Linked DNA regions of Xenopus tropicalis. Each later gene encodes a partner of the first gene's protein in a complex. Links are inferred from orthologs where the notes say so. Each region holds a gene or a part of one and is shown in the gene's direction. Other genes may lie near its edges.

What was found.
Region 2: the proteins of gabbr2 (region 1) and kctd16 are in contact, whole or in part, in a crystal structure (PDB 6M8R), measured with the Homo sapiens proteins. The link is inferred for Xenopus tropicalis from reciprocal best matches to the Homo sapiens genes GABBR2 and KCTD16. Residues at the interface, in NP_005449.5 of Homo sapiens: Ile882, Asn883, Ile888, Gln889, Arg891, Leu892, Ser893, Leu894, Gln895, Leu896, Pro897, Ile898, Leu899; in NP_001357415.1 of Homo sapiens: Asn30, Gly32, Gly33, Gln34, Val35, Tyr36, Asp64, Leu65, Ala66, Lys67, Asp68, Ser69, Arg72, Phe74, Gly79, Phe80, Arg83.

The regions. Positions count from the first base shown.
Region 1 is NC_030682.2:77,343,223-77,347,738, reverse strand, and holds the end of gabbr2 (gamma-aminobutyric acid type B receptor subunit 2), read left to right. Parts: intron 1-1,961; coding exon 1,962-2,127; 3' UTR 2,128-3,846; downstream 3,847-4,516. UniProt on the Homo sapiens protein: Component of a heterodimeric G-protein coupled receptor for GABA, formed by GABBR1 and GABBR2. Within the heterodimeric GABA receptor, only GABBR1 seems to bind agonists, while GABBR2 mediates coupling to G proteins.
Region 2 is NC_030679.2:39,047,405-39,051,233, forward strand, and holds part of kctd16 (BTB/POZ domain-containing protein KCTD16), read left to right. Parts: intron 1-2,881; coding exon 2,882-3,336; 3' UTR 3,337-3,829. UniProt on the Homo sapiens protein: Auxiliary subunit of GABA-B receptors that determine the pharmacology and kinetics of the receptor response. Increases agonist potency and markedly alter the G-protein signaling of the receptors by accelerating onset and promoting desensitization.

The DNA.
Region 1 (4,516 bases):
AACGCATGCTATAAATAGCACTCCTTATTTCTGACTTTAGTGAATCGGGCCCATTGTGTTTTATTGATTTGTATGTTAATGAGGGGATATTAGGCATATTATAATGATGGGTTAGGCTGGAAATTAATAATAGGAATAGCCTCAAGTTATCATATTAATGTTTTTTTGTTTTGTTTTGTTTTCTTAAACGCTCATTATCAGGAACAAAATGCCTAGAAACATCATTACATCAGTGTTGTGGCGCAGCATCAGTACAGCACTATATTCCTCATCCATTTGAAAGACCTTCTGGTAACCTATAACCCTCTATAGCAGGCCAGATAGTCTCCTCAGCACTAGGGATAATGTAGCCTTGTGGGGCAGAGCTGGCAGCGTTTCATATTGTTAAACAAATCCAACAAAAAAAATCCTTGTGTGTGTGTGTTTGTGAATACTTTATAGAAAAATTAAAACAGTGGGAAGACCAGTAAATTGACTCCAGTTAAAACCTGCATATTATTGGATAATGAATATGCTTGTTTCTTATTGGTTCAGGAATTTGTGTTGTTTCACAGAATGGATATTTTATCAGTTTTGTGGAACTGAGTATTCATTTTGTTAATAGAATGAATTCTGCGCTATAGAATCTTGCTTTCTGTCACACGCATCTATTCTGTCCTGAAAATCTAGCTGGAATATGCTATTTAGCTTTATATATTTTGTTGAAGTTTTGTTTTACATTATTCATTCTGTAAGTAACTTTACACATAACTGTTTTTTTATATGGATGTTATACATTTGTGAGACAGAATGCTTGTTAAAATTGATATTACAGTTTGTAATATAATAATATAAAAATTGATTTTGTTCTCATTCTTCACTAGAAATATATCTTTTGTATATTTTTTACCAATGTTTATATCCACACTTTAATTCTGTTTACTGGGGATTGCTTTTTGTATATAGAATGTATTTTTAAAGACAAAATGTACTTTGGACAAACGGCACCCCATAGAAAAATATCAATATTCAGGTGCAGGTGCATAAAATTGATTTAATTTTCACAAAATGTGCTCTATAGCCCTAGTTATTACAACACTGATAATCACATTTCAGTGTTGATATTTGTGGCCCAAAACACTTCTTGAAGATACTCAAATGTATCTAATAGCTACCATACACTCTTTGCTTTCATCAGTTTCATTTACAAATTTGTATTGTCAAAAGAAAACACTAAAATGCCTGAGGCTCACAATTATTTATTTGATTCAGATTGTATCACTATTGTAGAATGATAAATTGTTTTTTCTAGGAAGAATATATTTATTCTGCTATAGAATTGGTATTGCATAAAAAATACATTTATTATTATGTAGACAAACATTTTGCTTAGCCACTTTGGCTCAAATTCTCAAATTTCTTCCTTTTACTACCATTGCAAGTTGCTTGTGTTAAGGTACTATTTGTCTGAAAGCACAGATTTTTGCACTTTAGCGGGATCATTGCTCACTTTTGTCACAGTACTACATAGTTCTAGTATTTTGTGCTGAATACAATATAGTCATCATCCTAAAATGGTTGCTGTTGAAGCAGGCTTTCAAGAGGTCATACATAGGGTTTAAAAACTCTAAGATATAAATAAAGGAAGAAAAAGTTAAGTAAACCTATAGAAAGATCATTACGCTATCTCAATGGACTAAAATGCATGGGAAAAGAAGTTGTAGAGATTCTGTTGAAATCATTTGGGATTAAACAAAAAGCATTTGTTAAAATAATGTAATAGATTAATGTGTTTAGAGCAGTATTTGTACCATAGCTTTTAGCTACCAGCATAAAAAAACCTGACCTATAGGATCTGTAACTAAATTAAATTTCAAGAGTGAAAAAATCCATAGAAACATTCAAAAGAAAATTATTTTGAAAAATCTCCATAGACACTTGCTGTTTTAATAAAATTAATGTTTATTCTATTTTCTTCATAGTATACAGAGACGGCTCTCCTTACAACTACCCATCCTACATCATGCCTACTTGCCATCAATAGGTGGTGTTGATGCCAGCTGTGCTAGCCCATGTGTAAGTCCTAGTGCCAGTCCCCGACATAGACATGTGCAACCTTCTTTTCAAGTCATGGTCTCTGGCCTGTAGGAATAGGTAACACAGGCTTCTTGGACTGCTTCTGTAATCTCAAGAAGGTCTAGACTGCACAAACAAAAACTTTGCTATACATGAAACATTTGCTCTTAAAACAGAGGAGAATACAGTCTAGGGACATAATTCCAAGAGTCCAATATCAACCAGCGTGAGCGAGAGAAGTGAGAGATGCATAAAGACATACCTGGAGCCTTATCTGTGGAGTTTTTATTTCTTTACTCAGAGGACAATGATGAATTCTTCCCAAAACTCTGCGAGCATCAGATCAAGCGCAGAGAACCTATATTCTTGCACAAAAAGAAAAACAAATTACAGAAGATGAACTTTTTAACCCAAGTTACAATTCTAAATATATGGCTGCTATAAACAATGGTTAGTACACTTTATACACATGTAAAAATCTTTTAAAAAAATCATCAAAAAGGAAAATGGCACAGATAGAAATCATTTGCAGAAAATTGTACACGGGTTTGCACAGATATGATCAACGCATTCCATACAGATTTATCCTGCTAGTGTGTCACATCTAAGACTATACACAGTGGGGAAAACGCATCCTTATTAAAGATCCCTCAGGTGTCAGTGAGACATGCAGTATTACCAAGGTTTTGTGCCTGTAACTGAACTATACTGTTTTGACACTGTAGTTTCAGAAGCAGCATGGAGCTGTTAGGTAACCAAGGTTTTATTGTACTGAGCAAGAACAATTTGCAGCACAGCACTTCGCAGAATTTGGGAACAGCTCTGTTTCACTGCTCGCCATTTGGGACAATGTTTTACTCTCTGTAATTTTTTTTCTTTTTAAGAAATGCACAGACTTAATTGAAATGCAGGTTTGAGAACTAGTACATAGCTTAAATGTCACATGATGGATGATTTGTCACAGTTATTGTATTTAATTTGTTCTATACAGTGCCACACTTAAAAAAACTACAATAAAACCAATGTTATAACAGATTCCGGTTCTTTAGGCACATTAGGAGCTATAAAGCTTTGAGCCGGTAATGTGTTAAATTCTTTTTACTGTGCATTTAGCCAACCCCTGAGAATTTTGTATAATTTTCCAACAATTAAGTGGGTTTGAAAGTAAATTTTCTAAATTTGTGACATATGAAAGACAAGATGGAGATCTGAGGAGATTTGCTGAATGCAGGCAGACAGGATAATAGAAAAACGATACATAGCCAAGAAATAAATAATATGTTTTGGCATAATGTGAAAGTATATCTCAGGGGTAGATCATCTTCCATTCTGAAACCCTTTCACTTGTTAATTGTTTTAAGGAACCTGTTTAAAACAGTAACATTAAAAAAAAATCAACATACATATATCCAACAGGTGTTTGGGCTGATACAAGTATGTATAAGTACCTGTATGTAAGAAAACCATTTCCATCATGGTTTTCTGAGCAAACAGCCTGTCACAAAATTGCATGACTTTCCACTATCATTCTTTTAGAATGGGCAACAAAAATCACTATCATCTATAGGCAATGCTATTATTTTAATAATTAGCCAAAAGCCATTCAAATTAATTGATTGCAGTGTTCATTTACAATGCTTTATACTTCTTATTTGAACACAATTCCTAAATCTATGAAAGATAAAATGGGGGCTGCATTTTTTTATGTGTCACGGAAATTGCATTTTTGGAAAAGTTAAAATTAGTACCTGTAAAAATGGTAGTTTGTGAATAAACATTATAAAAAAAAAATGACAATTTTAAAATTTTGTTTACACTTCATTTGGATTATCCTTTACAAAAAAAAAAAATCTTATGAATGCACCCAATGCCATGGTTAAAATATATACAATCTACGTGTGATTTTGCTCCCAAAAATACAATGGACCAACTAGTTCTCAGGCACATGTATATGTACAATGTATAAACATAATTTACAGTGATCTAAATAAATGATTCTACCTTGGTATACAAGAAACAAAATGTATATCAGAAGCCAATAAGAATTCTGTTCCACTGACTTTGTTACAGCTGTTCTTTATTGTGGTTACAACTTGGTGAAATATATCTTTCCCTCAGCTATAAAAATAGTTTGACCTTTGCCTACTGTTACCTCCTGAATTCGCACAATTGTGAGAAAATATGGATCTGGGCACAAGAAATAATATGGATCTTAGTGGTATTATGACTGAATAACTAAAATACACTGTAATATTTTTACATAAAGCATTTAGTGGACCACATATATAGATGCCTCAAGGAAGGAAAAAAGGTACTGAAAAGTAAAGTAATATGTAAAGTGAGAACACTGTTCACACCTTATTGCTATGCACTAACGAGGAGTTCAAGCATTAAATAGACTTATTATATAAGTTTAGAGCATGTTCTTCACTAGCGACGAAATAAAAACGCCAGTAGCTTG
Region 2 (3,829 bases), on another chromosome or scaffold:
AAGCAGACAACTGGATTCTTTTTAGACCTACCCATTAGATATCTAACTGATCCCCAGGAAGATATTGGTCAGAAAAGCTATCTTGGCCAAGGCCAGTTAGCTGCCATCTTACCCTGGAGTCATCTGCTAAGGTCCTGGCTCAGATATACAACTTCGGAAGGAGAATTACATGCATGCGTGGCCTCTCTAATTAATCTTCCTTGGTGCTAGGAAGGAAAGATGGACAGCTACCCCACTAAACATGTAGATAACCCTTCCTACTGGATGTAAGCACCCACCCCTGAAATGTTGTGATTCTTTGGCTTGACACAAATAAACCCATCCTGCATCATAGCTGTGTGCTGGAGTGTTTAATGTACTGACCCAGGTATCTAGCTTGGAAGCTAGAAGAATATTGTGAGAGCAGCACCTCAACTAGAAAATAAAAATACTTTTATTACTTTCACAGGCACAGATCATGATATCTAGCCCATTGTTTGCTGAGGAACATACATTCTTGAGTGCAGTGCTAATGCAAGTGTGTGTTGACTATTCTATTTTTAGTAGACAAGAACAAACAGCTATCACCGCTGCTTTTACTCATCCTTGTCTTCATTTAAGAAATAAAACTTTTTCTTATGTTATATTTTCAAACTTATTTTTATTCTTATTGGCTGTGCACAGATGTGCAAACTTTAGTAAACCCCAAATTCATTACCATAAGCCCAATAGGTACTGGTGGTTGCTCATAGACTAACTGTAATGAGATAATGAAGTTAAAGTGGACCTGTCACCCAGACATAAAAAGCTGTATAATAAAAGTCCTTTTCAAATTAAACATAAAGCTCAAAATATTTTTTTTATTACCACATCCATACCCATTATAAAAGCATTTTAAAATCCCAGCTGTCAATCATATAATGCCTGCCCCGCCTCTATGCCTTAGGCATAGAGGTGGGGCAGACAGTTACTTTAATTTTCAATTCAGAACTTCTTAGATGTTGCTGCACCCCTCACATTCCCCCTCCCTCCTCACCATGTAACTGTGTAACCAGTGCATGGACATGGGCATCGGGTCCCCCCATACTGGCACAGAAACAAGATATTGGCAGGATGCAATGCCTGCTTTGATAACAGTGTCCACAAAATGGCCCCTGCCTGCTTGCTGCAATTGTGAATTCCATGGCTGAAGATAATAAGATTAAAATAATTTATACAGTGTAAGTAAAGTTTATTTTGCTTGCCAAACACAATAGAAAACAATTTAAAATTATTTCTTAAGGTGACAGGTCCGCTTTAAGGAAAATGAATGCACAGTTATGATATTTTGTATGCAATATATTGTGGAAATTTGTTGTGCTACACACTGTATGTATAATTCAACAAACTGGGGGAATTTGTTAGTGTTGCAGAGTCATTCAAGACCTTTTCCTCCAGAGGTTGCAAACCCATGAAGTGAAAATATTCAATTTACAGATTTTACTTTTAACAAATGCAGTGTAACAGTAACAGCTTCCTTTTATTTGATGAGAAAGGGTAAATGAAGCAGAAAGGAAAGAAAAGCACACAAATAGGGCAAGCACTTAGGAATCTAGCCAATATACACATAAATCAATAGCCTTCATGAATAAAGTTCTTGAAAATTCACATAGCCAGCTGTACAGTGTTACTGAGCAGTCTTTCCTAAGGTACGAATTAGATAAGTTTCTGTTTAGCCATTATTGATTCTTTTGCAGCTTTATATAGAACAAGACTTACTTTGGGCCTGTGAAAGACACTGGCTAAGGCTCTAGCAGACTCTATGGCTCCCACCTCCATGACTTGGATATGCTGTTTGGAAAAGTCTGCACTTTATTCCAACTTAATTAATAAGAAACCACTAGACTGATGTACAATACATGAAATGAGTATGCAAAGCAATCCTAAGCATGGGTTCCTAGCAAATCTTTAAATTAAATCTAGAGATAGAGATAGAGAATTTGACTGGGCCATGTCAGCCCATTCATGAGGTTTTAAAAGGGTTTCCCTAGGGTAGCAATGTAATACCTGAATTATAATATGGGGGCAATTTAATAACATTTGTATTTCTGTAATCTTTGTATTTTTTTTGTACAAGCCTCAAAAAAAGCCTTTATTCATTTAATAAATTCTTGATTTTTAGCTGAAAAAATACTAACATTGGTAAATAACCATCCTAAGACTTTACTGGATAAACAGCCAATAAAATGATGATGCCAGTTACCTGTGAAGTAATGGGTCATATACAACATCCACATTTCTTCCATTAAAGTTGTATAAATTGCCAAAGAGGGCACTTAGAAGCCTTACATCTCTTGCCGTGTTGCTATTACATACTGTATTAAATAATGACCTAGAAAAACAATATCTACCAATCATGCTGGGAAGAAACCAACTGGAACCATATCCTGCACCCCCCTTGTTCTCTTTCTGTGAGTTTGTGTTAGGATAGGGTATGCAGTACTGTACATTTGTAGCAAACAATGGTCATAAGTATTTGTTAAGCAGTCATTATTTACTGTTCTAGGGAGAAATCAAGTTGCTATTTAGAGGTCAAATTCTTTTTTGCTTTGTGGTGCTGAATTGCCAGCTGGGCTGCTGGGATCTTTGTCTTCCTTTGGTTAAATAAGTAGAATGTTTTGGAAAGGTTCAACTTGTTTTCTTTTCACCCTTACAATTTTATTATGCCTTTCCTCTGTTTAACTATATGGCTGCTTCTTAGTAGACCAAAAATTGAAAAGTATTGCACTGATAACCATTCAACTTCTTTTGCATATCACTTTTAAATACATATAATAAAGATGACAAATAGAATCACAAGTTATTTTTGTTACTTAAATACACAAAGTAGAATACTAACATAGTTGTTATTGGTTTATTTTAGGAGGGCCTTCCAAATGGCAATCATCAAACCACTGTGACTGCTGCTGTAAGAACCCCAAAGGGGACAAAGAAGGAGAAAGTGGAACATCGTGCAATGAACTCTCCACTTCAAGTTGCGATAGCCAATCGGAAGCCAGCTCCCCTCAAGAGACAGTCATCTGTGGGCCAGTAACTCGTCAGTCCAACATACAGACTCTGGATCGACCAGCCAAGAAAGGACCAGTGCAGATTCTCCAGCAGTCTGAAATTCGTCGGAAAAGTGACCTTTTGCGAACTCTGACAACGGGCTCCAGAGAGTCCAACACAAGCAAAAAAAAAGTAATGAAAGAAAAGCTTTCCATTGAGGAAGAGCTGGAAAAGTGTATTCAGGATTTCATGAAGATCAAAATCCCAGACAGATTCCCAGAGAGGAAATTTTCATGGCAACAAGATCTACTACGAAAATATCACCTATAGAAAGGGAGGGAAATTATTATTGAAACACAGTTCTATGATACATAAAGCCTATTGTTTATTTGGTAGATTACCATGCCCACTGAAAGTACTGCCTAACATACATATTGTATTCCATCCTAACCCCATTGCTGTTGGATAGGCCTTGAAAGGATTACAGGCAAGACCAGCACCAAAGGAGTTACCATAGTTACAGGGTATTACATTTATTCTCTTTGTGGAAGCACAATGTATTATGTTTCTTTGTAATTTTCAGTAAAAATGGTTTATATAGACACTGACAGCACAAAACAAAATAATCATGGGGTGCAGATGCCTTTGTTTTTAATTTTTTTCCAAATGTCTTTGTGTTAAAAAAGCATCTGAAAGTGTCACTTATTAAAAAAAAAATGCATGTTTTGTTTCAGAAGGAAGATGAGCACACAAGTGAAATACGCATAACTATATTATGATGGTTTACATTTAGTGGATATATAACTGCATCGATTATTTGTCT